4 linked regions of the Lepisosteus oculatus genome follow. The main gene of each other region encodes a partner of the protein of the gene in region 4 in a complex. Links are inferred from orthologs where the notes say so. Each region holds a gene or a part of one and is shown on either strand. Other genes may lie near its edges.

Region 1 (7,775 bases), on a different chromosome or scaffold from region 4:
CCAGCTCCCGCGGTTAAGGAGTGGATGGAAGTACGAGTCTCACCCCAGAGCAGAATCAGAAGATGACACACACACTGAGCACACTAAAATGCTCTTTGACTGGATATGTTTTAGACTGCACATCAACAATCCAAATTACTGAGATGAACACAGCAAAGCAAAGGACAGTCTGGTGAATGGTGAGCTCACTTGAACGTGGCAGTGTGTAGCTCTGTGTATCTGAGCTCACTTGAACGTGGCAGTGTGTAGCTCTGTGTATCTGAGCTCACTTGAACGTGGCAGTGTGTAGCTCTGTGTATCTGAGCTCACTTGAACATGGCAGTGTGTAGCTCTGTGTATCTGAGCTCACTTGAACGTGGCAGTGTGTAGCTCTGTGTATCTGAGCTCACTTGAACGTGGCAGTGTGTAGCTCTGTGTATCTGAGCTCACTTGAACGTGGCAGTGTGTTGCTCTGTGTATCTGAGCTCACTTGAACGTGGCAGTGTGTAGCTCTGTGTATCTGAGCTCACTTGAACGTGGCAGTGTGTAGCTCTGTGTATCTGAGCTCACTTGAACGTGGCAGTGTGTAGCTCTGTGTATCTGAGCTCACTTGAACGTGGCAGTGTGTAGCTCTGTGTATCTGAGCTCACTTGAACGTGGCAGTGTGTAGCTCTGTGTATCTGAGCTCACTTGAACGTGGCAGTGTGTAGCTCTGTGTATCTGAGCTCACTTGAACGTGGCAGTGTGTAGCTCTGTGTATCTGAGCTCACTTGAACGTGGCAGTGTGTAGCTCTGTGTATCTGAGCTCACTTGAACGTGGCAGTGTGTAGCTCTGTGTATCTGAGCTCACTTGAACGTGGCAGTGTGTAGCTCTGTGTATCTGAGCTCACTTGAACGTGGCAGTGTGTAGCTCTGTGTATCTGAGCTCACTTGAACGTGGCAGTGTGTTGCTCTGTGTATCCCACTTTACAAGAAACCAGAGCCACATTGGGCACATGATGTCACCCTGTTCGAGGGTGAAATCCTGTCCACGTCAATATGCATCCTTATAAAATAAATATACACATCATAAATATTGTCCAAACTACAAAAAGTGATCACATTTGTCCATTTAAAAAACAGCACAAGTGAACTAATACCATTTTTCTGTGCCAGGATCGTGACTCCAGTGGAAGGCCGTGGGGGGACTATAATCTGAAAGTTTACTAATGCAGCTGAAGTTCATGGACGCTTCAGTCACTCGGGAACCACTTCTGTCCAAAGTGACTTTACTGTAGCAGATGCCAAAAGTTGCAAGAACAACAGCTGCAGCAAAGTCAGTAAGAACATTGCAAAGCATAAAGCTGAAGATGGTTTAGTGATTTGCTCAGGGTAACACACAGTGATTTAGAAGTACATCCCAAAAATAACCCACTTTTCTTAACCACACCTTTTCCTAGAACACCTTGACTTTTTAATGAGCTGCAAGTAAAATATTCTTCTGTAAATTAGCACACTGACTGGTGGCTAGATTAGCAGTGACTTCTCTTTTGTAGACAAATGGCTTTTGTTAGCCTTCATCTGCAGTGACAATGTTCCATTAGCATTCTAGGGTGAATCAGCGTGAAAAACACTATCTGGCGCATGACACTGACCAACGTCAAGCAGCAAGCGGGACACCTGTGAGTCTTGCACAAAAAGCGTGGATGAAGACATCCAGCTTAAGCATCTTTCACATCTTGGGGCAGATCCATCTGTTCTGCTTTTAAATGTCAATTAAAATGTTTATACAGCCAAATACAGCCGACACTGTTGACCAATTTCACCACTGGTTAAACATGAAATGAGATTTTTGAATAGGAGACTTATTCTGCATATATTTTCTACAAACATGTTGTGCTAGTCGAAAATGCTTCTGTGCTTTAATCCAAGTGTAACCCATTCTAGTGAAATACTCTGAATTGTGCCTGGTAGATTCTGTGCTTTTCCTTTCTCTCTCCTGAAAGAGGTTAAACAGTAAACACAATTAAAAAAAAAACAAAGTCATTCTTCCTGGGTTGTATCCTGCTATGCAGATGATGGAGGTCTAGAGTCTCTCCAGATGCGTGATTAGCACAGACAGCAGCTGGCTTGCTAGCTATAGCTCTGGCGCCCTCTGTGGAGCAGTCTAGGGGTTCGCGCTGCTTTTTGGCTTTTCCAAACTGCCACACAAGAGCCAAGCAGACATCCTGACGATCTGCCCAGGACATCCTCCACTCCTGTGCTGCTGGAATGCGAGACGTCTGTGGTCGCTAATCACGCCTCGCTTTAAACCTCTTCCTCTTCCTAAACCTTGGGTGTTGCAACAGCACCGCGCTCCACCCACCCAATGGTCAACTGAAGCACACAGCCATTTGCAAACACATGCAAAAAAACATGTTGCATTTCACCAAATTCTCACTGGATGTTTTTGCTGCTGCTGCGATTCCTTGCATGGTCATCTGCTGAGGATTTCAATTTCAAGACCTCATCCGATCTCTAATTCATCAAGTTCCTCCACTAGTAATGGACTAGAAACCACATCCTTAAACATCTGCATTGGCTCAAGATTTCTTTTCACAACCAGTTTCAGTTGCATTTGCTGGAAATTAAAACAAGGTTTGGCTTCATCTTTTCCTTGTGTGTGGGTAGTGTTTAGGCCTCTGTTTCAATGAACTGCTTGCTATGGATACAGGGTTTGTGACCAGTCCCAGGAGGAGTGCATCTTGGTGGAAGCAGAACTTCTTACATGCACTGTATCACATTCCAGATCTTCGGAAATATCTCCCAAATTACATCCAAATCAGCATCATGAACAAGAGGCGCAGTTACTGGTCACTAAGTTGTTTTAACTCATTTAGATGAGACACAGATACTTGGTATGAAAAAGCCTTGTTTTCTTTCTCAATTCCTTTATTTCCATGTAGAAAATGAAATGGTGACATAAGAGCCTAGAACTTGTCCCATTGGCACAGCTCCTGATGCCTTCATCAGTTGAGATACAACAAATTTAGGAATATTAGAGAACAGACACAATCCAATTATAAAAAGGTCATCAGCCCCAGACTCGCATCTGGGCATCCCTGCAAGGTGCCAACAAATCCGTTTCAACGCTAAAGCACAGCGAAACGCACTGTTTTAACATCTAAAGGCTGTAAACTGCTGTGAAGTATAAATCGCTCTTAGAGGACCCAAAGCTTCACCGTTCTATCAATGAAACTTGTGTTGCTTTAGTGTCAGAATTTGTAAAAAGCTTTCAGAACTCCTCAGGGACGGGCATTAGAAAGCGGTATATAGTGAGAGATTAAATTGGAAGTTTTAAAAGCATTTGATTAAGGACTTAAAGCAAAGAGAGGAATAAAAGTTAAAGCATTAAAAAGACCAATGGGTACAAAGATCACTTTATGACAAAGCTCGGGGGGAAAGCCATTATGTGAAGGCCTTGAAATCTTCCAAACCCACCCTTTAATGATGGACAGAATGTACCTCGTTACAGTGGGTGTAGACTGTGAAACGAATTCAATTATAATCCGTTTTAAGTGAAACACGACAGGCAGCTATGGGACACAACAGACCTTTAGCTCTGGGCGTGCACTATCATTTCGTGCTAGGTCCTGTCTTTGCAAATTGAACGGTGAACACGAAATTTCCACACCGGGACTCGGTCCAAGAGCACCATCACTCACCCAACAGGAGGGAAGCAAAACTTACTTTCGCTCGTCACCTCCGCGTTGTCTGGCTCCTCGCCGCCCAGCAGTCCGCAGTTGGCTTCGTCCCAGGTCAGGATGAGCGGTACGTCGTCATCTGCGTTGCTGGCCATCCTCCGAAAAGGCCTGTCCGGGGCAGGGCGACCCTCGCTCGCTGTCTGTCCCACAATCAAGCCACCCTACCAAGTGGGTTTCTCGTTTGGCTTATCCAAAACTTCTCCAGCTCCTTTTGCATAATCAATGCCAATCGTCTCGGAGTGGTAAACTGCAACGCAAAACCAAGAGCCAGCAGTTCACCTGCTACATCCACCAAACTGAAGAGACTGAAGAGTCTAGCTTCAGTTTGTTGACAGGTTTAGTTTTAAAAACCCAGTGCGTTTTATTGTGCCAACGCCGCTACAGGACACTAAAATAAAAGCAAATATCGGATCGTATTTCAAGCGCTATAAATCTCTTTTTACTAAAAGAAATCTAGTCCAGATTGTATTTCATGTACCGACCATCGGAGTCATCAATGTTTCTAACGTGTACATGCATTTAAACGACTTAACATGATTCAGATAAAAATTCAGTAACAAAACTATCCGATTTTGTGACGTTATAGCGCTAAACAGAGCTCCTCCGACAGCTTCTTTAGGTTTAATTTCTTGAGTTAAGATATCAGAGAGAAAAACGGTCTCAACTTCTGTCTGTTGTTGATAATAACAACACGACGATTTATTCTGAACTAGTGAAGAGCTGTCATGTTTTGAGTTAAGCTAGCTTCCACTAACCCCAACGTGCATATCTTCCAAAACGGAAAAAAATAAAAGCAGGCTTTTAGGTAACCTTCGCGGAACCAAAAAAACATACCAATCCTTTAAAAAACATCGCGCAAAAACATTCTTGTTACATTTTGTAACCAGACCCTGCACAGCATTAAAGAGCCTGAAGACAACCAGCGCACAGGCCCGCCTCTGCTGCGATGCTATTGGCTGGTGTCTGTTCTCTGAGTCCGGTTCTGCCCTGTGAGTGGAGAACCAACCTGTCAATCAGAAGCGCCTCGACTCGTACGTGGGGATGAGAAAATGGCACGTGACGCGCACATCTCTGACTCGTTTTTTTTACAATTGTCTTTACGTCGCGTATAAGAAAATAAGGTCTTTAGCTCTCAGTTAAGCCGTTCTGGAAGTCACATGCATTAAGCATAGCTTGCGTCTAAAGTTTAAATGCCGAAGCAACGTCGTCTGGTATAATTCATTATAAAGCAGTTAGAAATGTATATAAAAACTGCGCTTTAACACTAGGGTCAATGTTTTTTTTGGAAAGGCCGTGAGAAACTAAAACCATTCAAACTACATTCCCAATAACGTACAGGGATTGCTTCCGGTCACGATGCTGCAGTTCAAGCGCTGATTGGCTGTCAAAGCGCCGCCTGCATTGCGGTTTCCTAGCAACGCAGATAAACTGCAAGCAGAAACAAGTTCCCATTGAGGTAGGTGAGATATAGCACCAGTCTATTTTTTAATTATGCATACATTTATTAAGAAACATGTGTTTGTGTTATGTGTTTGGTCCGTTATTCGTAGCTGTATTCTATGTTGCACTGGACTTTTTAAAATAAAACTTCATGGTCTAAAAAAGGAAAATAATATATTACAGTTCATTGTGTTGATTGTGTATTTAGCTATTAACAGTAAAACTGCAAAGTTAATTAGAGGCGTCAGTGTAATATTATTAAAAATCATGTAATCTCCTAAACACGTTTTCTCTGCTGAACTGTAAATAACTTTCAGTTAAGTTCTCAGGAAGTTCTCAGGAAGAAAAACGTGAAGAAAAACTGCTCCTCCTGATTCCTTCACGTGTCGTTCTGTCTCCAGGTGACCCCAGGACCTTGTGCTGTAGCTGAGCGGTGTCTGCTGAGGAGCAGAGGAGCCTGGAGACCGACGGCTCATGGCCATGGAAGTGGCTGTGCTGCCGGTGGGGGGTGGCTGCCGACAGGCCGCCAGTCCCAGCCCTCAGCCCCGCGCGAGCGGCGCCAGGGAGTCTCTCAAGATCCTGGACCCGGCCCGCAAGAAGCTGAGCTCCCTGGAGACGCAGCGGGTCGCGGGCGTTCTGGACGAGTGCATCGCGAAGGTGGAGCTGGTGGCCCTGCTGCCCACGGTCCTGTCCGGCCTGGAGCGGCTGTCGGTGGGGCTGGGGGCCGAACTCGCGGGGGCCCTGCGGGAGCACGAGCGGCTGGGGCAGATGCTGGCCGCCCTGCGGGAGAGGAGCCAGCGTCAGGGGCTGGGGGGCGAGAACGAAGACCCCCGGCTCCCGGGCCTGGAGCAGGCTCTCCGCAGCTCCCTCCGCAGCGTCCTGAGGCACCTGCGGGCACACCCCAGTGCCACCCACAATCTGAGAGGGCAGGCGGGCGCGGGCGGGGGGGCTCCGGGACTGGCGTGGGGTTTGGCATGGGGGCTGACGGAGCTGCGCAGCCTGCTCTTTGAGAAGCTCCTGACCGGCCCCGCGGAGGAGCGAGAGAGGAGCCGGTACATCCAGGAGGTGTCTCTCCGGCACCAGAACAACGTGGGGCTCATCTCCACCCTTGAGAGGGAGGTGGCTGCGGCCGCCCGGGACAGGGATGCTGAGGTAGGCAAGGGGCCCGTTATGCGTTAGGAGATTGACAGTCCAGGTGCTGTCCCTACGTCCTTTTAAGAGCATAACCAGAATGCAGGGCTGCATTGACTTATTTCAAGTCCAAAGTGTTCCTCATGGCGGTGTTAACTCCCATGGAGTTGGAAAGACAGAAATGATGTGCCGTGATGGCAGCCTCTGTATCTAGCCTGCACACATATATTGTACATATGTTCATATATACAGTGTTCTGTCCAGACACTCAGTGTGCATAAGTGTTCATAGATAGATAGATACTTTATTGATACTTTATTCATACCGCCAACCCAAGCCTGGAAGGGCTGGTATTTTCAGTTTCCTGTGGTCAGTGTGGTGTGGAAATTCTGTGCTGTGTTTGTTATGGTGCTGTGAAGATTTCCCCAGAGAACGTTTCCAGTCGCGACACCAGCCACCCTGTCTCCTTGCTTAGATTTCCAAGAAGAATGAGGTCATCCGCAAGCTGAAGGGCTCCCTCCACCAGATGGAGAAGATCTCGGAGGACTTCCTGAAGCGAACCCGGCAGGAAGCGGACAAGCAGACGCAGTCCGACCACAAGGCCTCGGAGAGCCGCTGCGGGCGCATGCAGCAGGAGATGGGGCAGCTGCGCGGGCGGCTCTGCGGCCTGATAGCCGAGAACCGCGAGAGCGAGCTGGCGCTGAGGAAGGTGCGTTTCTTTTCAGTTCCAGGGACCTGAGCCCATCCTCCAGTTTGAACCGAATTACAGTACTAATACAAAAATAATCTCAATTGCCTGCGGCTTCATTTCATGCCAGATTTCAGTCAGTATATTTAGTTATTTTGTTATTTCTGCTTAGAATGTTTGCCAAGTAGAGATTTTTTGAGGCTTGGAAGATCTTTTGAGAGCAACACGGTGGTGCAGTAGCAGCGAAGGAGCCCTGGGTTCAATCCTGGCCCGGCTGTGCTGTCTGCCTGTGTGCTCTCTTCATGTTTGCATAGGTTTCCTCTTGAAACAGATGTCCTTTTAATCACAATACCATTATGGTTGTATATGAGCAAATGTTATTCTTTCCTCAGATGGAGGGTCTGTAGTGGTGGCCATAATGCTAAACAGTGAATGTTGCATTTTCAGAAAAAATAGTTCTATGATGTAAAGTTTTAGAAACTGGTGCCCTGCAACTATTTCATTTTCTCAAGTATAACCTGCTTCTCTACAGAGGAAGTACAAAGTGGAGACAGAGATTGAGAACTGGATCCAGAAATATGATGTGGACATGGGTGAAAAGCAGGTAGAGAAAAGTTTTTTCCCTTCATCCATAGTCATGCACATGATTATGGCGAGAACTGCTCATTCCCAGATATCAATAGAATAGAAAATATATCTGAATTAGAATTCAGTCACTCACACAAATATCTCACACAAACTCCCAGCCCCGAGCCACACAGCAGCCTTCCGAACAAGGGTGAATTATTCTAGAATAAGGCTGGCTTTCTGTCATG
Region 2 (7,062 bases), on a different chromosome or scaffold from region 4:
GAAATCTCAATCATTTCCAGTACCTTTGGAATATATTCCTATAGGGAAAATCCAAATGTAACTGTCAGGTAGAATATACATTAAGACAAAAAGCGATAGACAATACAACCCATTCATATCTAATGCACAGCTTGTATAAACATGAAATCAGGTGAAATTACAAAGGTTCAAGCACTTCTGTAGCAGTGTATTAGAATTTTCTAATACTTGATCATTGAAAGATTTCATTTAAGCTCTATGAAATAGATGACTATCATTAATTTATCCACTATGACTTACAGCATCAATAAGACTTCAGAAATAAAATAATAATGATAATGAAATAAAATCTTTATAAAGAAAAGACAGAAAAGCTGAAAGATGGAATAGTGAGGCGCTCAGACTAGATTAGACTCCCTGAGCAGCGGCAGCTTTGTGAATCATAGTAGACGTACCTTCAGTTGTTCCTGGTTTTTGGCATTCATGCTCAAGTTGTTCAGAGCATTTAAGGCCTGGACTCGGATGCCAAACACAGGATCTGACAAGAGGTTTCCTATGATTTTAAGGCCGCCCGTTTCACGAATAAAGTCCTGCAGTCGGAAAAAACATACAATCTTTATCCATTCTCCAGGATGACTACTTCACCACAAAAGCACTTCTGACAACCATTACTGTATATAAGATGAACGAGAACAAAGATTCTCCTCTGAATACATGAAACCGCAACATTTTTCCTTAAAAAAACTCTTGGTAGTGCTGATTGCTGAAGAATGTTCCCTGTGAAATCGTCTGCCTTCTTCCTTGTGGATTAAGACTAGGAGAAAGAGTTCAGCATGAGCATGAAACCAGACATTCATTGGACCTGGAAGACACTCAATGTTTTGCACTTGCGATATTCAACTCCCTTATTTATTCCACTGCTGTGCTTTTTTTAAACCACACACTATCTACCCGAGAGGTGTCTATTCCTGGTCCCGGAGGGTGGGTGTGTCTGCAGGTTTCCTAGGTCTCTTCAAAGCAGCGGCACCCGAAAGGTGAGAAGCTGTGAAAGTTGTCCAGTTAGGTCAGCAACCAGCTGGTTCAGCTCAATAAGAGCCGAGCTGGAATGTAAACCTGCAAACACAAAGGTCCAGCAGGATCTAGACTGGACAGCCCAGATCTGCTCTGTATACGATATGCACTTATTTGTATTGTGCTGTTTTGTGACGTTAAAAGACTTCTCCTTCTGGAGCTGCATTGTAATTACCACACTGCTAAGTACCAGCAGTTTACCTTTCCTGCAGGCACTATATTTCTGACAATATATTGTAAGTTTGTGATTAAATATATAATCTACAGGTATGTGTTATTAAGCAGCTATAGTGTTTAGCAATTTAGTGTCTTGGGTGGATAAGTCTCTGGGCTCTTAACAGGTGGATTGTGTCCCTACTGCAGATGCTGGTGTTGTACCTTAAGGGAAGCACTTTATCCCAGTTGCTTCAGTTCTCCCAGCTGTATGAATGGGGACCAGTACTGTGGGGCGGGAATCCCTGTAATGGACTGGTGACCTGTCCAGGAGAGTCACATGCTCTCTTGTCCACTTAACACCATGGAAACCAGGATAAGCAGACCCAGTGACCCAGTGTTGCTGGGCTATGGAAATTATCTGCCTTTATAGTGAGTTAATTGTAAGATGCCCTTGAGCATAAAATACAAATGATCCCTGATCCTCTGGCCTCAGGAATCACTCAGTATTCCGGAGGCCTATAGCCTGAATTAATTTACGTGTGGTACCTGGTTCACAGAGAAGGCTGCACTGTTGCCCAGAGTGACAAGTATTTGCATTCTTTCAGATGTGTCAGGATTACTCTGCAGCAGGGAAAGAAGCATCTCTAGATGCTGTGGGTCCAGCTTTCCAGGAGTTTTTGAGAGTATTTCACCTGCAAATTAAAAGCACAGGTAAAACAGCAAGTTAGAAATGCGCTTTAAATTCTTGGGAAATATTTGGCAGATCTAAATACCTCTATTAATGCCAGGGAGGATAAAAAGACCATCACCGCACTGGAGTTTCATCCTTTACAAACTTTACAGTAATCAAGAGTCAGAAGTCCAAATATTTAATTTTAGATCCAGTGGTCTGTTCATGCACATTTATTCAAAAGAAAGTAAAGTGTGTGGAGTATCCAGCACCTAGTACTGGCTATACACAAGAGCTTAAGGAACTTCAAAATTAACAGGTGAATAGAATACATCTGTTTTTTTTTGAGAGGATATGGTTGTTTTTTTAAAATATTTTTGTGATTTCCACTAAGGACAGACATCCTTATGATCTGCTCTTGATGTAGCTTTCTCATTTACACTACACTTTCTACACTACCAAAAACTTGTATTATCATTATTGTATTGTATCTACAAGTAGTTTAAGTAAAGAAACAGCCGGTCAGAAGGTTTTAATTCTGAACATGTGCACTTATGCTATTTGTTTTTCTGGTTTTTCCATTTTCTATATATTAAACCGCATCTTTGTACTGTTGAGAAACTGCACATGATTCAGAATCACATACAGTGTGTGGTCACATTGTTAGGTACATCTACCCAATAGCACGTTGGTCTTCCATCTCCCCTTAAACTGCCCGGACTTGTTGGGGCTTGGACTCAACAAGGTGCAAAAAGTGCTGCACAGGGATACAGGCCCATGTCGACTCCAAATGTGTCACATAGTTGTTGCAACTGCAAATTAGCTGGTGATGGATCTCTACTTCGGATAACTCTGTCCATTATCCCACAGGTGCTTGACTGGACTGAAATCTAGTGACTTAGGAGGCATTACATTAAACTGAATTCCCGTGTTCAGTGTCACTTAAGTCTTTTGTCTTGCCCACTCTCCCTCTGAATCGCACACACGCGACCCGGAGATACTGTACCTGACTACGTGCTTTAAATAGCATCGTCTGCACGATGATGTCTCTGATTAAGCCCTCAAGTACATGGGAAGGGATATGTACAGTACCTAATAAACTGGCCGCTCAGCGTATGTCACTACGAACTTTGCACAATGTGAGAGCATCACTTCAAGCTCAGCATTAATCACTCTGACTGTACCACTAAGTCGGTAATACTACATTCATTATTTCAGTGCGGTTCCAGTATAAACATGCTCACACTTCGGTATGTAATATATTCAATAATTCACATAACCACGTGAGCTGCCCAGAGAATTGTCCTGTTTCATCTGTAAAATGGTGTCAGCAACAATCTTTAGCGCCAGAGAGTTTATTTTACTTTGTGATCCATTTGAGGAAATAACAACAACAGGACACGAAAGAGTACAGAGCAGGTGCACGTAGACTTGTTTAGTAAGAGACAGACTTACGCGATGAACCATCGCCTGTACGAACATCTCTCCCACGAATCGAAGAAAACTCGAACACTTTTTCCAGCAAACTCCCAGGCAAAACCGCTTTCGTGGATTCATCTTTTCCTGAGCAATGTTCATTTACAACATCGATATTTCGGGATTGATTAGCTCGATTCCTACTTGCAGTCACTAGTTTGTAAATCCCGTAAGTGGCTCCAGCCCCGGCCAGTAACCCCAGCAACACCTTCATTTTACACGGGCTGGGAGCCACACTGGCACCGTCAGCCATCGTGGACTCGAGATCTGACTCATAAGAGCACAAAGTTGATCAAATACTTATTTATATGGTAAGCTTCAGCAAAACAAACAATTTCCGAACAGCATGTTGACAGTTCAGTTGCGACATGACTCTAATCAAACAGAAGGGTGAACGAACGTTTTCACGGGGTTTTTCTAACTGAATCTCTCGGATTCTGAATTGTTCATCTTGAAATACTGTATGAAGTGGATTATTCAAATTGGTATTTTTAGAGCCTAGTAATCGACTATGTCGTAAATATAATAATTAAAACGAAAGAGTATCAATATACTGTATGGTAATTCCACGTGCATTAACTGAAGCTCATAAGCAGCGTGTTAAAGGCTCCCATCAAGGAGTTCCAGACACGGGGATTATTTTCGTTTGGCCAGCGGCGTGGCCAGAGCCAATTTAGTTACTTAGTGACTGTAAACAGACTTGAGTTTTCAAGAGGGAGTTTAGAAAATACGAAAAACTTGTAGTATCGTACGTTTTGAAAGAGAGAAATGGATAATTTGCAACAAGCAGATCCGGTCTTGAGAAAATACATCATGCAACACTCACTTCCTGAGATCTATAAAGTAGGGTTGACGTTTCTGTGTTTTCCAGTATAGACTTTTATTACAATTATTTTACTGAATAACACGCTGTACTGACATCCATAAGGGGTACCTTCCATGGTCTTTAGCTTTGCAAAACGTAATGGAATTTACTTATCATTAAGCTTTCAGCGTTCGAGAGACAACACTTGTATAATATAATACATTAAACATGTTTAATATATAATTATATAGAATGTATTTAAAAAGTTAAATTAATCTGGTGTGCATCACAAAATTGTAATTTCTTATTACTAGCTTCATGGCAACAATTGGATATATCTACCTACTCCAGTACTTTTCTGGAATTCCTGTTCCCTTGATCTAATTAATACACCAGTGAAGTGCGAACAAGGATCCACTGCCGAGAGTATCCAAGAATAAAGTCAATATGTATAGACAGTTACATCTCCACTAAGGCAGAGAACACACCAGGCACTCTTTACTGCACAGGTTTCACTTATTCTGGCTTTATCATAGTACATAAAATACTGGCGTGGAAAATTGCAAAGTACTGTAGTCTGGCAAACACGAAAGGTGTGGCATTCAATTGCATATATGTAATCGGTAATGACATTTCACCAGGCATGATGAATTGCTTCCATTTTAACGTGATAAACTGTATATTTTCTATATTTGTATATTGCATTGTTAAGCGCCTTGGGGAAACCTTGTTGTGAAAGGCGCTATATAAAAGTTAACTGAATTGAATAGAATATATATTTGACGATTTTTAGGTGTGAATCAAGCGAAAAGGGTAGAAACACTACTCTGATTTGTAACCTGTATTAGGTTTATGTATTGCTTTGTCCTAAGGTGCGTTTTCTCTAAATTTTCATGATAATGGAAGTGATATATATATATATTTTTTATCGACAGGCGTTGTTATCCGGGTTATGTGTTGTGTGCCCTGCAAACCCGTTACAGTTCTTGGAAGAGAAAATCAAAGAGTTTCAGGAAAATGGGAACTGGTAGGTAAATTTGGAATAGATGGGACATTTTATTCAATGGAATGGTTTAGGACAAATCTGGAAGAATCCTTACAGAGTGGCATACTGTACTGTACATGTGAGCGCCGTTACCCCATCAGGCCGATGTATGCGCAGTGAAAGCCCTGCCTGTTTGTGACGGGGATCAATACCAGTTCCAAGTGGACATTTCTTGGGAGTTTTGATTAAACCAAAGAACGCACAACTGACGTCTAATTAAGCTCTGAGAGTTTTGTTGATCCCATTAACTATAGGTAAGGTCAAAAAAGGTTTTACCTGTGTCCATGTCATCAAATAATTAGTTAAATAAAGTGTTTAAGAGTAGAGATGGTAAAATATCCTCAATGGCTGTATTTGAACAATCCCTGAGATTAGAAGATAAACTGCGTATAAAGAAGGTTATAGAAATTCCACTAGAGGGCACCGTTCTCACCTTAATTGTTAAAGCAGCATCTGTAGCGTTAGACGTGCCCTTAAGATTATTGTAAAACAGCCTATAGGACATATAAACACTTTACACATATCACGTAGTGAAAGAACGTTAGAAACGAGATGATTTTCCTCCGGCCCTGTTATAATTTCGCCATGCAGTCTATTCACCATACCCAGTATAATTTTACCATACACCACAATGCAGTGTTGCATAATATTTCAGCTGTGTGTCTAAAGATTCCTTATAGCTTTGCTCAGTCTATAAAGGGAGCAAACACATGTACTGTTCTCTTTTAGAGGCATGAGAGTATGCTTCATCAGCGACAGGTTTACAATATATAATAACTTTATTTACAGTAAGATAAATTAAATCTGCATTTTGAAATAAATTGACTGTAGTATTCTGAAATAACAAATACTGATGTCTATATTTAGTCTTTGTGTGGAACCTTCTAGGACTGGCAAGACTCCCAAAAATATTTGAATTACACTGTCAAAGGTGCCCAGGAAATAAAATATTGTTTTTGGTCTCTTGTTCAACATGCTGGCTTTCATCAACCGGCTCTTCAAAATGGGTTCTGTGGTCAGTCCTTTTTTATTTCTAAAGTTTAATCTTTGTTAATGGGTTCCATCTCAGGTCACATTATTGATATAAGACTGTAACATAAATTCCCACTGTGAACAGGACATACACTGCTATGAAACACTGAGTTGCTCCCTGAAAGATCATTCTACAGTGGTGGGGGACTGTTTCACAAAGTGAGATTACTTGGTTTAATTTGGTGAATTTAGTAAACCTTTTAACAAAAGTCTGGATTTTTAGTTTCATGAAACAAGACTGAATTGTATCTGGTTAAGTAACTATAGCAACATATCCTCTACTCTTAACCGGCTCCAGGGCAGGTTAATTCAAATATAGTGACAGTATGTCATGTAATAAGTAAAGTGGTGTATGCATTTGTTTGCATTTCTTGACAATATAAACCATCAAACGGGGGTTTCTTGAAATACAGATCTAGTATATACAGTATCTGGTAATATTCTTTTTTATGTATAATAAAAAAGGTGTTCTGGACTGCAAAGTCATCCTCATTAAAGCCCCCATATAGTCAAATGAGGCTCTTTTTAAAAGAGAATCTATTCACAGCATCAACTTACAGATAATAAAATTGTAGTGTGAAAATATGAACATTGATCACTCAAAAGCCAAAACTATAAAAACTTTATATCACTTTATAACTTTATAACTTTATATCAAAAGATGTTTTAAACATGTCTGCCTACAATGGGTGTTACGTACTGTAGACTTTCCATCATGTAAGTTTCCACCATCACATTGTTTCCTATGTTATCAAATGATCTGTGATGCATAGTGTTGCATCAGCAACATTTACATGACTCTGTCCAGGGGTTTCTCCAGGCAGGGCA
Region 3 (7,247 bases), on a different chromosome or scaffold from region 4:
GATGAAGGAGGCTGACCAGTTTATAAGTGACCACAGCTTTGGAAGGAGGGATGAAGAGGGTGTCGTTCACCCTCCCTCCAGTAGCTCACCCAGTGGTAGTAATGATGAAGAGGCGAGAGACAGACGCGAGGAAGAGCAGAGCAAAGGCTGGACACTCACCACTCTGATCCTGTGCCCAATGGCCTTGGCGGGCAGGTTGCTGCTGAACTTGGCGCGGATCATGCCGCTGTTCCCGTGAGCGCGCATCACCTTGCCCCAGATCACGCGCGTCTTGCTGGGCTTGCCGCCAGGAGTCACTGTGTTCCTTGAGACAGAGGGAGAGCGAGAGAGGCCTCAGTCAAACAGCAATTATTCAGGCAGCTCCAAAACTGCAGATATCTTCTAACACGGAATGAAAACGAGCACAGACATAATCGAGCAAACGTGACCCCCGCAAACACAAAACTAAATAAACAGCAACTCTTTAATTTGAATGAGCGACGGAGGGTGTATGATGGGATCTGAAGACAGAGACAGGAAAGAGAGAAGAGCTGTGAGGGACAGCAAGAAGGCTAATGTCAATCTTGATAAAAATGGCATCTGTTTCTAAGCAAAGGATAATCTGATAAGGGAACAAAAGCCAACCCACCACTAAATGCGGCCACACATCCCCTAACTAACGGCCTTTGACAGAAATGATTTTATTCTTTATTTGAAAGCTGCTCTTCCTTCAGTGCTGCCTGTAATACAGTCATATTCAAAACATCACAATTCTGTATGACACAGGGCTATAAACAAGAACAAGAACCATATTTTAAGCACAAGAGGAAAAACGCAGTTTGCAAGGGAAACTGCCCTGACACACAAACACATTCAATGAAAAATTTAGTATTGGCCCTGTCTATGAAACAATGGTAAGTACCTCATTAAATGTTAAGTGCATAATTATACATCCCTTATATGTCAAGAACACCTATTCTTTTAATATTTAATACGTTTTTTGGAATAACAAGTGGCAGGCGAAATGATGAAGTGCCTGCAGGTACAGAGACAAGACAGTTCTACATGCAGATGTGTATTACCGAGCTGCTAGCAGTGTGCCACATGTGTAAATAAGTTTAACCTTCTCCAATTATTAAACACATCATACAGATAAAAAAAAAATCTTAACACTGTTCCAGCTGTGCCTTGTTTGAACCATGCCAGCTCAATCCTCCTGAAACAGACACCAGACACAAAATCTGTGTTTGCTGCTGCACTTAGAGGGCCAGCAGAACTTGGCAGCACATCCACTTCAAGTCCAGCAGCAAAAGAACAAATATGGACAATGCCATAAAACTATACAGCACAGCAGCACCATAAATGTGCTCGGTTTTTCAGAACAGATCTCTAAACAAAGAAGCACGTTTCCTGTTACCAAATCCCTAAACCTTACCGTCCACTAACTGGATTCAATAACTGAAACTGGAAATCTGCCTGCTTAAAGAAAATGAGATAGAGCACTAAAGCAGCTGGGCGAGGTCTTCTATATACAACATATATACACACATGAGGACTTCCCACTACCCACTAGTAAATGTGGACCCAGGTTGGGGAACCGGCTTAAGAGAACTTGTCAGCTTCTCTCTGCAACACTTAAGTGGCATACCAAGAAGAACCTTCACAGGCACACCCAGTTTAACACTGGTGCGCCGGCAGCATTGGACTCACTTCTTGGCCTTGTAGACGTAGGCGCAGCGCTTGCCCAGGTAGAACTCGGTCTCCTCGCGCGTGTACACACCCTCGATCTTCAGCAGCGCCGTGTGCTCGCGCTGGTTCCGGAGGCCTCGCTTGTACCCTGTGAAGATCGCCTTGCACCACAGTCTGGGGGGGAAAGAGACCAAGAGCCCTTGTCAGAAGACAATCACAGCCCCAACAAGAGACTGTCCACCCTGCAGCACGATCCACACTCTTCATTGCCCCTTGCAGACACTGCAAATGTTTGTAATTTTATTAGATAGGATCACGGTTTTGATACAAACTAGGTATCTTAAGTGAAGAGCCAACTGGCAGAGATCATTACTGACTGCATGTAAAAAAGACAGCACTCTGATCCATGTCAGGTTTTTAACTGAAGGCTCCTATACAAGTGGGAAAGCGATGCTTATCGCACAGCACTGCTGAAGGATAAGCAATCTAGGAACTGAAGACTGAACCTGAAATCACTGCACTGCATTGCAGTGGCCAAGCTCGGGACACCAGAATCACTTACCGAAGGAGTAATTAGCAGCCAAAGGCTCCCACTTGGATATTAAACTTCACATCTACTTTCTTCAAATACTTGAATCTGTACTGCACTTTTCATCCTAATTTGCATATAGCAGGGGATCTATTTCATCCATCAACTGAGAGACAGCTGCAACTTTCTGCAACCCCACCTCACTGTAGATCAGGTGGAGAAGTGAGAAGAGCATATGGAAGTTAAAAATCACTGAAATGCATCACACCGGGTAATACAGGCAATCACTCAATTCAGAACTGAGCTCTGCTTGTGTGTAAAATAGCCTGCTGTTTTAAAGGGTATATCCTGTGGAATAAAGCACATTGGAGAAGTGTTAGTTTAAACCAGAGATAACCCACCAGTTTGCCACAGCACAGTACCGATCAAACACAAACCCTTCTGCTTCCAAAAAGAACAGATTCTGTTCCTGTTACACTCCCACTGCAGGAAGGTCGATTTTTAAAATTTATTATTCAGCAATGCTCACCAATACAAAGGCAGCTCCAAGAATACCTGATTAGTGAGAAACAAAGGACTCACCTTCCTGGCATTGTGAAGCTTGAGTATTCAGTCACAGCCAAGCCTGGAGATGGACAGGGAGCACATAATCAGCACACAATAAAATCATGTTAGTCTAAAACACAAGGAGCTATACACAGATGACCACTTCTAGGTACGAAAGTTACTTTGGGGGAAAAAAACAACACAACCCAGCTAAGAGAGATGGACCACGGCTGAGGATTTTAGCTCTACATCACGGTAACGCACACTGTATCAATAGTGACAGCTCCTGTGGGAAATAGCAAAGGACATCCGTTTTCTTTGAACACGTACACATTTGCACGAGGAACTACTATCTACACGAAACACATGTAATTCATTTTAAAAGACACTATTGCTGAAGGTTCATGGTCCGGGCAACACTGTGCACTTTCACGATTCTACCTATCTGAGCTGTGAGGGACATGTAACTGCTGGGAAAAACTGCAACAAGTTCAGCCACGATATTACATTAAAAGGGCCTGACCGCCACAGTTCCGGTTAGACACAATCGGAAGCAAATAAGGTGTCGGACTCGGCAGTCGAGAAACGAGAATTCATACATACACCCAAAACGGCAGCAACCGGGGACGTATATGATTTCGGGGTACAAACACCGTGTATATGACTACACACTGCATAATAGCTCCCACCATTAACACTCACTGACCATACAGCAAAACTTCAGTCAGTAAGGCAGAAATGAATAAAACCATCATTTTATAAGAAAGATAAATGGTTTCCAATTTTAAAAATCACACCAGGGTTTTGACAGTTACAGGGCTCGGAGACATTCTTGTATTTTTAAATGGGAATCTAATGAATAAAATTGAGTTTGAACGGCCGAGGCTCAGCTCCTGCGAAGCCGGGGCATTTTACATTTCACCCGAGGGATTCCAAGCTAAATCCACTGAGTATCTCGGCCATCTTCAGCTCAAAGGCTACAGCACTGGTAAAACAAGCCGTATAAGACTCACGGCTGTTTAAGATAAGTAATATTATAGTTACTATACTTTTAAAAACTATTTAAAAACCGGTTGATTCTAAACGCTGTTTATCTCTCTCACCTGTACTGATATCCAAGATGGAGGAAAAAGGGGGGTCCTTAGGGCATGCTGGGAAATCAACACCATCGTCGCACGAGTCGTGACTGAAACAGCGCCTGACTAGAAATGTGCTTTTAAAAGAAGTACACTAGTTTCTTAAAAACATTTTTTAGTTTTAAAAAATCTCAGAAAATATTTAAGTTCCATATGTCCAAAACTAATCATTCGCTTTGCGTTTACAATTTGTTGTAACAGGCAATTTTATAGACTAGCCTTTTTACTTCGCTTACTTGCATTTGTTCCTCAGAAACTAAATAAAGTTTCTTGTCCACTAAAATAAACTAAACATTAAGCTTCAAGTATATACTTCAATATATATATTGTATTTACTAATTTAACATGAACAAAAAAAAGTACATGCAACTGTTAAGCTTGCTCACCACGGTTGTGCGGTTGCCATGGTGATCGGTGTCAACATCGAGCAATTTTCACGAGTTGGAAAAGTAACCTGACTGAAACGGTGGTTAATCTTTGCGACAGTATTATTATTTTGTCTTTGAAGTTTTAGGAAAGTTATTGATCAGCAGTTACAGACATCTATTTTAACATATTGGATCGATTCATTTCATTTTTCTTGCAGCAGAATTTTGATTTTGAGATTGGTAGAAATTGGTAACCTATTTGAAAGTGTTAAAAGACTATTTGAAGTCGCTAATGGGGAATGGGAAGTATCTATTGGACCTGCAATGCTTACTGACCTTTCCAGCGTGCACACTGTTAATATTAAAACTTTGATTAGATTCCGGTTTTTAGTGCCGAGTGGGCTTTAGAAGGGACGCCCTGAGACAAACTGTACTGTCAGTTACATTGATATTGACTTTGTCAGTCACACCGACTATACAGTATTAACGTACAATATCATTCAATCTGAGTTTACAGTATCTGCGTAAGTGACATTATTGAAGCAACCTGCATAATTGTACAATCTGCACACAGATCATTTGTACTAAGTTCTCATTTGCATTTGCAGTGCACACGATGTCTCTCCAGTCGTATGTGGAGCAAATCCGGCTGTGCACGGTTCTAGAAGACGGCGCAGATCAACTGGCCGTGCTGGGTCACATCATGCCTGCCACGTACGAGGGGCGGCCTGACGCTGACTCGGTACTCTCTCACCCACAAGTTTGTATCTGTCTCAATGTGTCATGTCTGTCAATGTGTCTCTCGATGTGTTTTCCTTTCTGACATGTTGTCTTCGTGTACTAATATATGTCTCAGAACCCGTAACACTGTCCGTTGTGTGAGTCTCTCAGATTATGCTGGGTCAGGTGTCTCAGTTTCTCTCTCTAGCTGTATGTTGTTCACGTCTGTGGCGAAGAAGACATGCTATTCTAAATTCTAGTTTATACTTATACCAGCCATAGCTAAATAAATACAATTATATTTTATTCAGGAAATCCCCAGAGGGGAAGATTTTAAAAGGCCTTGTTGAATTTTGCAGTGGACGTGAAGGGTTTAGGAGTGTTTTATGCCCCTTTATGCAAACTGAAAGTTCAGTTTTTGAATAAAAGTTGAGAATCAGTCATTTTCAATATAGACATATTTAGATCTATCTGAATTTGGAGGGCAGCCAGGGTTGAGGACAGGAGGTGCAGGTCAAGAGGTGTGTGGGACAGAGGGAATCATGGGTTGAAATGATGGAGGAGGAGGAAGTGGATGCTACATTGTCTACAGACCAGAGTGAGACCCGTCTTTTCATGGTTTAATCTGTCAGATTATGTGTGTGTGTTCAAGTGTCTTTGTGTCTAGGTGTCTCAGTGTGTTTGTCTATCGGATTGTGTCTGCTCACTTTGGGCAGGTGTTGCAGCAGCAGGGGCAGAGATGTATTTCACGGAGATGATGTAATTGCAGTTGCAGGAGAGGGCAAAGCTGGCACAGGTCACGGGGGCGCTGCAGAGGACCCAGGTGGAGCTGAGCCGCATGCTTGAGCACAACCCCCTGACCCCCGAGCACCTGGTCAAGGTGCAAAGAGACAGGTCAGTTTTGCAGTGAATGGGCTCTCTCTCTCTCCTGCTGTCTTACTATCTCTCTACTTCCTCTCAATTTCTGGCTCTCTAGCTCTGCAAAAATCTTGCATGCGTTACGGAATTGCATATAACCTAAGTCCACTGACCTACTCCTCTGTGGAGCATTCCTATAGGTCAAAAGTCTGAAAGATACAAATAAAAAATACATATGATACAATGTTGAAATGGCAATTTATTTTTGACCCTTCCCAATCTGTTACTGACAGTTGTTGATCAATGTGGCACACACCATTTGATATGCTCTCTATCCCATCTAGATGTGCTGTTTGCAAGCTCTCTAGTGCCTTACAGGAGCATTGGCACTGATTGAACGAACATTATGACTCTCATTGATGGTGCTGTAGGGTCTCCTGCTCGGCCAGCTCAAACCACCGAATGCTACTGGCATCTAGCATGCTGGGAATCCAGGCATCGAAGAAGATCATGATCCTAGCCCGAATTGTATTGGATACACGACTTAATCTATGATTCAGAATGGTGTTTTTACAATTAAACCACCTGTGAGATGAAATTAAAGTTAAATTTAAACATTGGACAATCAAATCTCTTTGCTTCTCTTTCCCTTTTCTTTCCTTACTCTAATTGTCTGTCCTTCTCCATCTCACTCCTCTCTCTGCCTTTTGCTCTGTGTCCCTCTTTCTCCTCTCTCTGTCTTTCTGTTCCTGTCTCAGGCAGTTTGCAGCACAGGTGATCTCCGACGTCCTGGCTGAGCTGCAGGAAAAGGGCACATTCCAGAGCTTGCTTTTGGCTGTCCAAGCGGAAAAAGAGAGGAAGGCACACCTCCACGACATCATAGTCAGGTCAGCCTCTCAGTTCTAGTCTTCAGAAAGTTTTGGTCTCAGTACCAGGCAAAGTGGACATCGGACATTGGCAATGACTTTGTGTGGGCGTGTCTGCATGCGCTTTTTGGCAGGGAAGAGGAGGGGAGACGCAGAACCAGAGCTCTGCAGAGACAGCTTTTGGATATCCGCAAAGAGAAAGAGCTTGAGCTGCAGGTATAAAAACACATTCCAATGAGTGACACACACTATTGCAGTATAATAACTCAAACATGCCCTTGCAAGGATGTACCATATTATAGTGTAATAACATGGGCATGCCATCATTACATACAGTAATAGCTATGCTTTATAACTTATCTGCTCTGTGTCTGACATGTCTCTCTCTCCTCACCCCTCACCCCCAGAAGCGGGAGGAGATGATCGCCCACATGAAGGACCAGCTGCAGGAGATGAAGGCCAAAACTGGGCTGGAGGGGAAGTATGTGAAGAGCAGCGCGGAGCTGCAGGTGTACCAGGGCCAGAAGCTCAATGGACACGCTGAGCAGCAACTGCA
Region 4 (7,116 bases):
AATATGTGAAACATACACACCCCTTACTTATGACAAAATGATTTGCTCTTTAATGGCCTCTGTTTTACTATGATGTGCTTTTTCTATAAAAAAATACAGAGCCTTGCAAAAATATTCACTTTCTTCCAGTGATGTCCCATTTTGTTAATTACAAATGGTGAATATGCAATGCTTACAGGGCTCCCTGATCCTTCTGAGATTCAATCCCGTCATTCATGGGAGCTGAAAACGTACAGCGCCACTCCCTAGACAGCAGATTATTCCTCAAAAAACAGAAAGAGTTATACACTTAGCTTTCAGAGGGGGTTGAAATCACTTCTGTAACTGGTCAGTGCATGGGCCCTGTGACAAAAACACATTTTTCAACTGAAACTGGTGGCGCACTGGGTAGCATTGTTGCCTCGCAGCGCTGGCTGGGTTCAATTCTGGACCTGGGGTGCTATAAGAAAGGAGTCTGCATGCTCTCCCTGTGCTTCTTTAGTGTGCTCCAGTTTTCTCCCACAGCTCAAAGGCATACTGGTAGTTTAATTGGCCTCTGTAAAACAACTGGCCCTAGTGTGAGTCTGTGTCTCAGACTGTGCGTGGGCCTGTCCTGGACTGGAATCCTGTGAAGGGTGTACCGTGCCTTGTGCCCTTGGCTCCCCTACAACCCTGAATTGGATGATGTGGTTAGAAGATGGACGGCTGTTTTTAATCAAAACCTAAATGCTCAAACTGTTCAAACCTTTGCAAGGCACTGTACGTTCATATCAGTCAATTATTTCCTGTTTAACACAATAACTTTAAAACATACAACTATTTTATGGTGTGGGCAAATAGACAGAGACCTGAAATAAGGATCTGAGAATCACGATGACTTGAGAAAATGGAGTTGAGCCATTGTTTCCATTCGTCAGTGTCCCTTGGGGAGAGTTATACCATCCACCTTTGTGTGCTGTCTAACACTTTACCCTGGCAACCAGAGGGAGGGTGATTTTGGAATCAGTATGTTTCCTGCCGCGGTGGGATGAAATTCTCTGTGCTCCTAGCCAGCAACAAAGCAAATGAGGAGTCTCACTGCAGGAATACTTACTTAATCGACCAGCCAGCAGCTCAACCACCTGTCACAAGACCCAAATTTAGCAGTGTGGGCATGCATAGCTATCAGTAGACGGTGCAGTTTTATCACGTTCTAGTTATCAGGAAGATAATGTTGTATGATCTTCAGGAGAATCAAATCTCATATGTGCATTTGTGGAAAAAAAAAGATTTGGAGAAAGAAGCTGGATCCTTAAGTCTATGAGACGGAGTGGTGTTCCAAGCTGGTTAACTTTTTTATGTTCTGGTGTATACTTCAGTAGTGGTGGAATAAAAGATGAGATGCCTGCCACCACTGTACATTAGAGTTTCTTCCAATTTCACACTGTGGCGTCATACATTTCCCCTTGGTTGGCTTCATATATCTAAGATCTCCTCATCTTTGTTATTGAAAAATTGTGATTGAGAAACAAAGTTGTCTTTTCATTTGGATTTTAAAAAACAAAAACAACCTAATTGTGTACCAAAACCCCTCAATTCAATTTCACTCCTGTCTCAACTTTGAGGAGAAACAAGATCTGCATCATAAATTAACATTCGCACAGAAAATAAAAAACGTAAGAGATGTAGAAATGAAAGACATTTTTCCATTTCAATTAAACCTCGTAAGCCACTCATCGCTGATAAATCGATCTTTCAGTACTATACCGTGTTTGCTATAGTACAAATATCAATTAAAATAACTTATAGCAAAAGTATTACAGTTTATTAAGTTAACTCAAAAGACAGACAAGTGTGAATTTGTGATTATGTCATGTTATTTGTTGATTCTGTGAACATCCCTTCCCCTGCAGTGCAGAACAATGTACAGCTCAGAGACCAGTGTTCAGTCTATGTCTGTCTGGAGCTGAGGAGTCAGATGTCTCCAAGACACTGTCAAGCATTCTCAGCACATAGAATAGACAGCTGCTCTCTTCCCTGTGAGTGTGAAGACAAATAAAGGAGAGAGCGCTGAAAAAAATTATAAATATGAAATAATTCTCTGCTGACAGAAATGTCCAAAGTGCTGTACAAAGACAAGATCATATATTAATCATTAAAAATCAATTAAATGAAGATACATTTCAATACCCAGCACTTCTAGTTCTAGAAATTAAATAAAACTTTCTTCAGCACGCAGTAGAATTGAACCTCCACACACAGCTTGGAGTCAGGAGTCTGACATTGTTAATTAATCCCTGCCTTACTTAAGGAACAGGAGGCACAAGTCATTACGTGTTACCCAGGGGTGACTGTCTTAACAGACCGTATGATCTGCCATGGAAATTGTGCACAATGCTGAACAAGGGATCAATGTAGATTAGTCTGTAAAACATTACTGAAACTGTTTACTTAATAACAACTAAATGTTTGTCAGTAAATGCTACAATTTAATGATGAAGTTAATAAATGTGTCTAAAAATATACAGACAGCTGTCATGTAGTACTTATGTCTACATATTCAAAGATCTAAAAAAAATCTATTCTTTTAAGGTGGTATCTTTCCTGTTAATTGTTTTCCAATTTCCTTGTTATGATTATTCCCCCCAAATTCTCTTTTCTATTTATAATCTTGTTTTTCCCCTTAACTAAAATACAAAAAACATGTCTGAAAATCTCTGGAGCTGTGAAGTGGAAGCACTGCATTGCACAACGTTTTAAAAACCCATGAAGCACTTTTCAGTAAAGTACATTACAGCATTATGGTCACCTTTTGAAAACAGAAAACATTATTGTATGCATAGACATGTCATAAAAAAAATGTATTAATCTTTCCCACCTACCAAGCACAAGTCTAAAATAATTAAACTGTCACATTTTTACATTTTGATTTTTTTTTACTTTAAAACACTATGTAAATATCATACACCATTCTAAAACATTTCAATTATATTATGATTTTATCAGAGAGCACTAAACGATGTTGCAGTTTATTTCTTTATTTGAGTAAATTAAATAATAATACTGTATATGTACTGTATATAAGGGTTGCCTAGTGGAAATGTTCCTGCGATAAACATTGGTGCTGTACCTTGAGCTTGTGCGTTACCCCGTTTGCTCCAGTCTTTCCAGCTGTGCGAATGGAAACTTCCATTGCTCTGCAGGGGACTGGCGTTCCCCTCCAGAAGGCGAGGAAGTCTTTCCTGGTTGTTTAATGTCGCGGAAAAAAGCTTTATCTCTGGCCACTAATGAGCCGTTGTGGAAATAACCTACGGAAAATAGAATGTAGAATTTGATCAAAGCTTATTTCTAGTTTCTCTTTGGCCATGGGTTTAATGAAATATTTTAAAAGTATTATGCATTTTATTGTTTTTATGATCATTAAAAAAGTTATGAAATCTTTGTGTTGTTGGACCATAAATTTGCATTTGTAAAGCAAAAAGTAATGCTACAACAAAACAAAAACTTTTTAGAATGTGAAATAATCTGACTTTAGGATATTTAGCTAAATAAATATATTTATAAATATATTTAGTTTTTTATGTAATTTATTTCTACTACTTTATATATGCGTAGTAAAGTTATTAGTAACCGTTTAAACGCTATGTCGATGTGAATGCAGTATGTCACATTTTAATATTTTTTTTTACTTCAAAACACTACACTTTATATATCATAAACCATTTTAAAACATTTCAGTTGTATTATGATTTTATTAGAGTGCACTAAACGATGTTACAGTGGTACACGCTCTGAGGGTTCGAGACAAGCCAGCTTTCAGAAGGCAAATCTAAAAAATGAAGCACAGGCATGTTAGCACAATTAACATATCTTTCAAGTTCATAAATATATAAAGTATTACATTTTCATGTATTCTTACTTGACAGTAAAAATAAACTGGATAATGTAAACATGTCTAACTAAATTATAATTTAAAATAATATGTATTTCATTCTATAGTTATGTGATAACTACCCTACTTCAATTTTTTTTTAATAATGGGAGCAGGCTGAACTAAAGGTTAGAAACCACAACTTTCGGTTTGTATGACAGTGCGTCGGTGTTGTAGCCAATCACTAACTGGTTCCGGGTTACCAAGGGTCAAGCGTTACCATGGATACAGTAAATAAACAAGACAGAAGAAGTACCAGTAAGGTATGTTTGGAGGGATATCTAAATAATGTAATTTGTGTCAGGGTGCATAGAACAAGTTTCCTTCTTATTTGTGTTATGGGTATTGCAAACATGTTTTTGCAATATGTTTTTTCCATTGTAAAATGTCATATTTACATACTTAGGAGACATTTCATCTCGTGTAAACCGACACCATCGAATTATATTATAGACACAATGTTAAGGGGCTGTGTTTTAGACACTATAGTGTGCTAAGTTTTGTGCTCTTCCTGAGGGTCACTGGGAAAATACAAAAATAACAATAATAATGTAGAATTGCTGAAAGTTATGGAGAAATAGGATAAAGGCATGGAGGAATAGTTTTGCCCCAGTGTTCTTATAATGTATAATTTAAGGTGTTTATCTATAGTGGATTTGGATTTTGGATTATTAGTCTGACATATAATTGTTTCTAATGCAGTCAATAAAAAACAGAATAAAAACACCACTTAAAGATGGGACAGAATGTTGCCTTTTTGACTACTCAAGACTGTTTGTTTAGGTGATCAATAAGATTCAACTGTGTCATCATCAACTCAACTTGCTGGTCTGCCATTCTACTCCATTGTTAATTCAGCCTGCTGTTTTCATCTTTTGAAGATGGCAGCTGAAGGGAGCTTTTAACAACATAAACAACACTATTGTCTTGAAGGGCATAAACTGTGTTGATCCTCATAGATATTTCAAATGGAGAGTGAAAACGTAATTAACGCAGGTTTGCAATTAACATGAGGCTGTCCTTTTCCTACAGGGATTTGATTTATGCTTAAAATCAATCAAACAGTATAGTGGAATTGATCAGTTAGGATCCTTCAGGATTTACTTAGAAAAATGTTCTTGGTACTTTACTTAGCTTTTAGCCAGTAAGCCTGTAAAGAGTTGTTTTTATGCTGTTTGGAGTTTTGATGCAGAGATGGTATTATGGAAAAATGAGTGTATCGCTTTCGTTTGTCTCCTCTTTCTTTTCAGAAGACAGGATTGTAAACATCTAGGGCATACAGGAAGATGCCGGATATCATGGACATCCAAAGCAAGGCAGCAGCCAGTCCTGGCACAAAGCCACGCATTTATCCGCCAGTGGCCAAACTCAATCCTGTTGCTGACCCACGGAAAATGAGAAGGATCATTGCGGAGGACCCAGAATGGTCTCTAGCTGTAGTTCCCCTTCTTAAAAACCTGTGCCTACAACATATCGTTAAAAACTTCCATAGTAGGTTCTTTTTGCCTTTATCACATTTTTATGATGATATTGTAGAGCATGTATGTGAGTGTGGCTTTCAAGTGAAAGCATGTGAAGCCAAGAGCCTTCTGGAATTAACATATCAGGTTTTTTAAAGTCTTATTAAACAATGGCAATATTCAGACTTCAGAAACAGTTTTTTAAGAATATATTTAGAGACTGGAAATCCAAAGAAAAAGGATGGAAAAAGGAAAAAGGTTTTAGATTTTGAAGTAGTTCAGGTGAGTAGCTGCGTCAGCATGCGTAGGCTGCAAAGGAACAAGTAATAGGTTTATTCCATGTGGAAGAAGGCTTGGACACCTGAAGAAGGCTCCACGGCCGAAATGTTGTGTTTTCTTTCTTCTTTTTCTCAGCATGGAATAAACCTATTACTTGTTCCTTTAGATTTTAAATGCATGCTTTACATGTGTTAACACATGTGTTAACCACTTGTTTGTTAACAGCAAAATCAAAGTGCAAAGACGTGTTAGAATGTGGAGTCTTCGGGGCACATTGTATTCTAGAGCTACAGTATGATAAAGTCCTGACTAGCTTTACTCCTGTTTTCTAAACAAATCTTGTATTCCCCAGATGACTTCTGGTCTGATTCTCATTTTACTCCCTAATTGAGAAGGATAAATTCAAATTACATGTCATTGCTTTTATAGATTGTATGACTAAAACAGAAAGAAAAAAATAGAAGCACTTAATCTAAATTTAACCAGTTGTAAAATGTTAAAGCTCTCAAAAACCTTTAATGATCAATTACTACCAAAATGTATAGGTGTGGCAGTAATGAGTTTTTAAATATGTCAGAAACCATTCACTTTTAGTTTTGAACACCAAAATAAAATTTCGTACATCTTTTTTCTGCATGATTTAACATGATAAAATATACATTGAGAATGAAGATCATGATGTGTTTGTGCCCCCAGTGAATCATACCATTTCATAAGACCTTTTAGCAGGTTTCTGTATGTCACAATTCATGACACATAATATTGAACTGGTGAGCCCCAAAGTAATTTCATTTCAGTTAGAACTTGACGCCATTTCTTCAATCAAGATTAAGTGTAAAGTCTGTTCTGCTCTGAAGCATGCTCTTGAGTGAGGCTTAATGAAAGTCAGTGATGAAACTGTCTGATTAACCACAGAAAAGACATTTTAAATACAAGACACAGTGCGTGTTAGGAATACTAAAATTTATTAAGTTCCAGTATGAAAACCCTGTAGTGCTCTTGATCCAACACTGACACTGTGGGGATACAAATTACCTCCATTCTCTCATGGACACTTGTTATTTATTTGAAGGAGTAGTTTCTATTATGTATATTTCCTTTAAAGTACTGTGAAGCAATACTATGACTACATCGTTACCTTCCCAGCTGCAAAAAATCAACTCTTAAATCACACAAAACACATTAAATTGAATATTAAGGAAATAAAACAACATATTACATTAAACAGAGTATATTTTTTCAGAATTTAACATATTGGTCTATAGGCAAATACCTCAGACATTCCAGAGATCTGCCCTTTCTTTATCTCTTTAAAATAAATCTGTATTAATGGATGGTATTTGTTTAAGGATGGAACTTTGTATTTCATTACTGTTTGTAATTAATTAAACAATATATAGAATTAATAACTATTAGTATAAGAAATATCTGAATTTTATTTTTTAATTACTATCAATGTATGAATGTATTCAATGCTAATTTATTTTG

What was found. The genes of interacting proteins can lie anywhere in the genome.
Region 1: tcte1 (region 4) and iqcd share a complex: the UniProt entries of both Homo sapiens proteins name them as parts of the nexin-dynein regulatory complex. The link is inferred for Lepisosteus oculatus from reciprocal best matches to the Homo sapiens genes DRC5 and DRC10.
Region 2: tcte1 (region 4) and fbxl13 share a complex: the UniProt entries of both Homo sapiens proteins name them as parts of the nexin-dynein regulatory complex. The link is inferred for Lepisosteus oculatus from reciprocal best matches to the Homo sapiens genes DRC5 and FBXL13.
Region 3: tcte1 (region 4) and iqcg share a complex: the UniProt entries of both Homo sapiens proteins name them as parts of the nexin-dynein regulatory complex. The link is inferred for Lepisosteus oculatus from reciprocal best matches to the Homo sapiens genes DRC5 and DRC9.

The regions. Positions count from the first base shown.
Region 1 is NC_090717.1:14,355,468-14,363,242, forward strand, and holds the start of iqcd (dynein regulatory complex protein 10), read left to right. Parts: upstream 1-4,765; 5' UTR 4,766-5,157; intron 5,158-5,542; 5' UTR 5,543-5,615; coding exon 5,616-6,293; intron 6,294-6,747; coding exon 6,748-6,981; intron 6,982-7,492; coding exon 7,493-7,564; intron 7,565-7,775. Other genes in the region: tpcn1 (two pore channel protein 1), read right to left, coding at 3,688-3,796. UniProt on the Homo sapiens protein: Component of the nexin-dynein regulatory complex (N-DRC), a key regulator of ciliary/flagellar motility which maintains the alignment and integrity of the distal axoneme and regulates microtubule sliding in motile axonemes.
Region 2 is NC_090702.1:33,829,037-33,836,098, forward strand, and holds the start of fbxl13 (F-box and leucine-rich repeat protein 13), read left to right. Parts: upstream 1-4,052; 5' UTR 4,053-4,120; coding exon 4,121-4,195; intron 4,196-5,092; coding exon 5,093-5,184; intron 5,185-7,062. Other genes in the region: armc10 (armadillo repeat-containing protein 10), read right to left, coding at 1-38, 435-569, 1,753-1,898, 3,332-3,605. UniProt on the Homo sapiens protein: Substrate-recognition component of the SCF (SKP1-CUL1-F-box protein)-type E3 ubiquitin ligase complex.
Region 3 is NC_090708.1:16,857,222-16,864,468, forward strand, and holds the start of iqcg (dynein regulatory complex protein 9), read left to right. Parts: upstream 1-4,237; 5' UTR 4,238-4,265; coding exon of another isoform or gene 4,266-4,285; 5' UTR 4,286-4,345; intron 4,346-4,378; exon of another isoform or gene 4,379-4,771; intron 4,772-4,855; 5' UTR 4,856-4,863; coding exon 4,864-5,007; intron 5,008-5,736; coding exon 5,737-5,861; intron 5,862-6,583; coding exon 6,584-6,712; intron 6,713-6,825; coding exon 6,826-6,907; intron 6,908-7,098; coding exon 7,099-7,247. Other genes in the region: rpl35a (large ribosomal subunit protein eL33), read right to left, coding at 160-304, 1,690-1,842, 2,780-2,822, 3,847-3,956, 4,266-4,285. UniProt on the Homo sapiens protein: Component of the nexin-dynein regulatory complex (N-DRC), a key regulator of ciliary/flagellar motility which maintains the alignment and integrity of the distal axoneme and regulates microtubule sliding in motile axonemes.
Region 4 is NC_090697.1:43,242,677-43,249,792, forward strand, and holds the start of tcte1 (dynein regulatory complex subunit 5), read left to right. Parts: upstream 1-4,105; 5' UTR 4,106-4,152; intron 4,153-5,139; 5' UTR 5,140-5,175; coding exon 5,176-5,380; intron 5,381-7,116. UniProt on the Homo sapiens protein: Component of the nexin-dynein regulatory complex (N-DRC) a key regulator of ciliary/flagellar motility which maintains the alignment and integrity of the distal axoneme and regulates microtubule sliding in motile axonemes.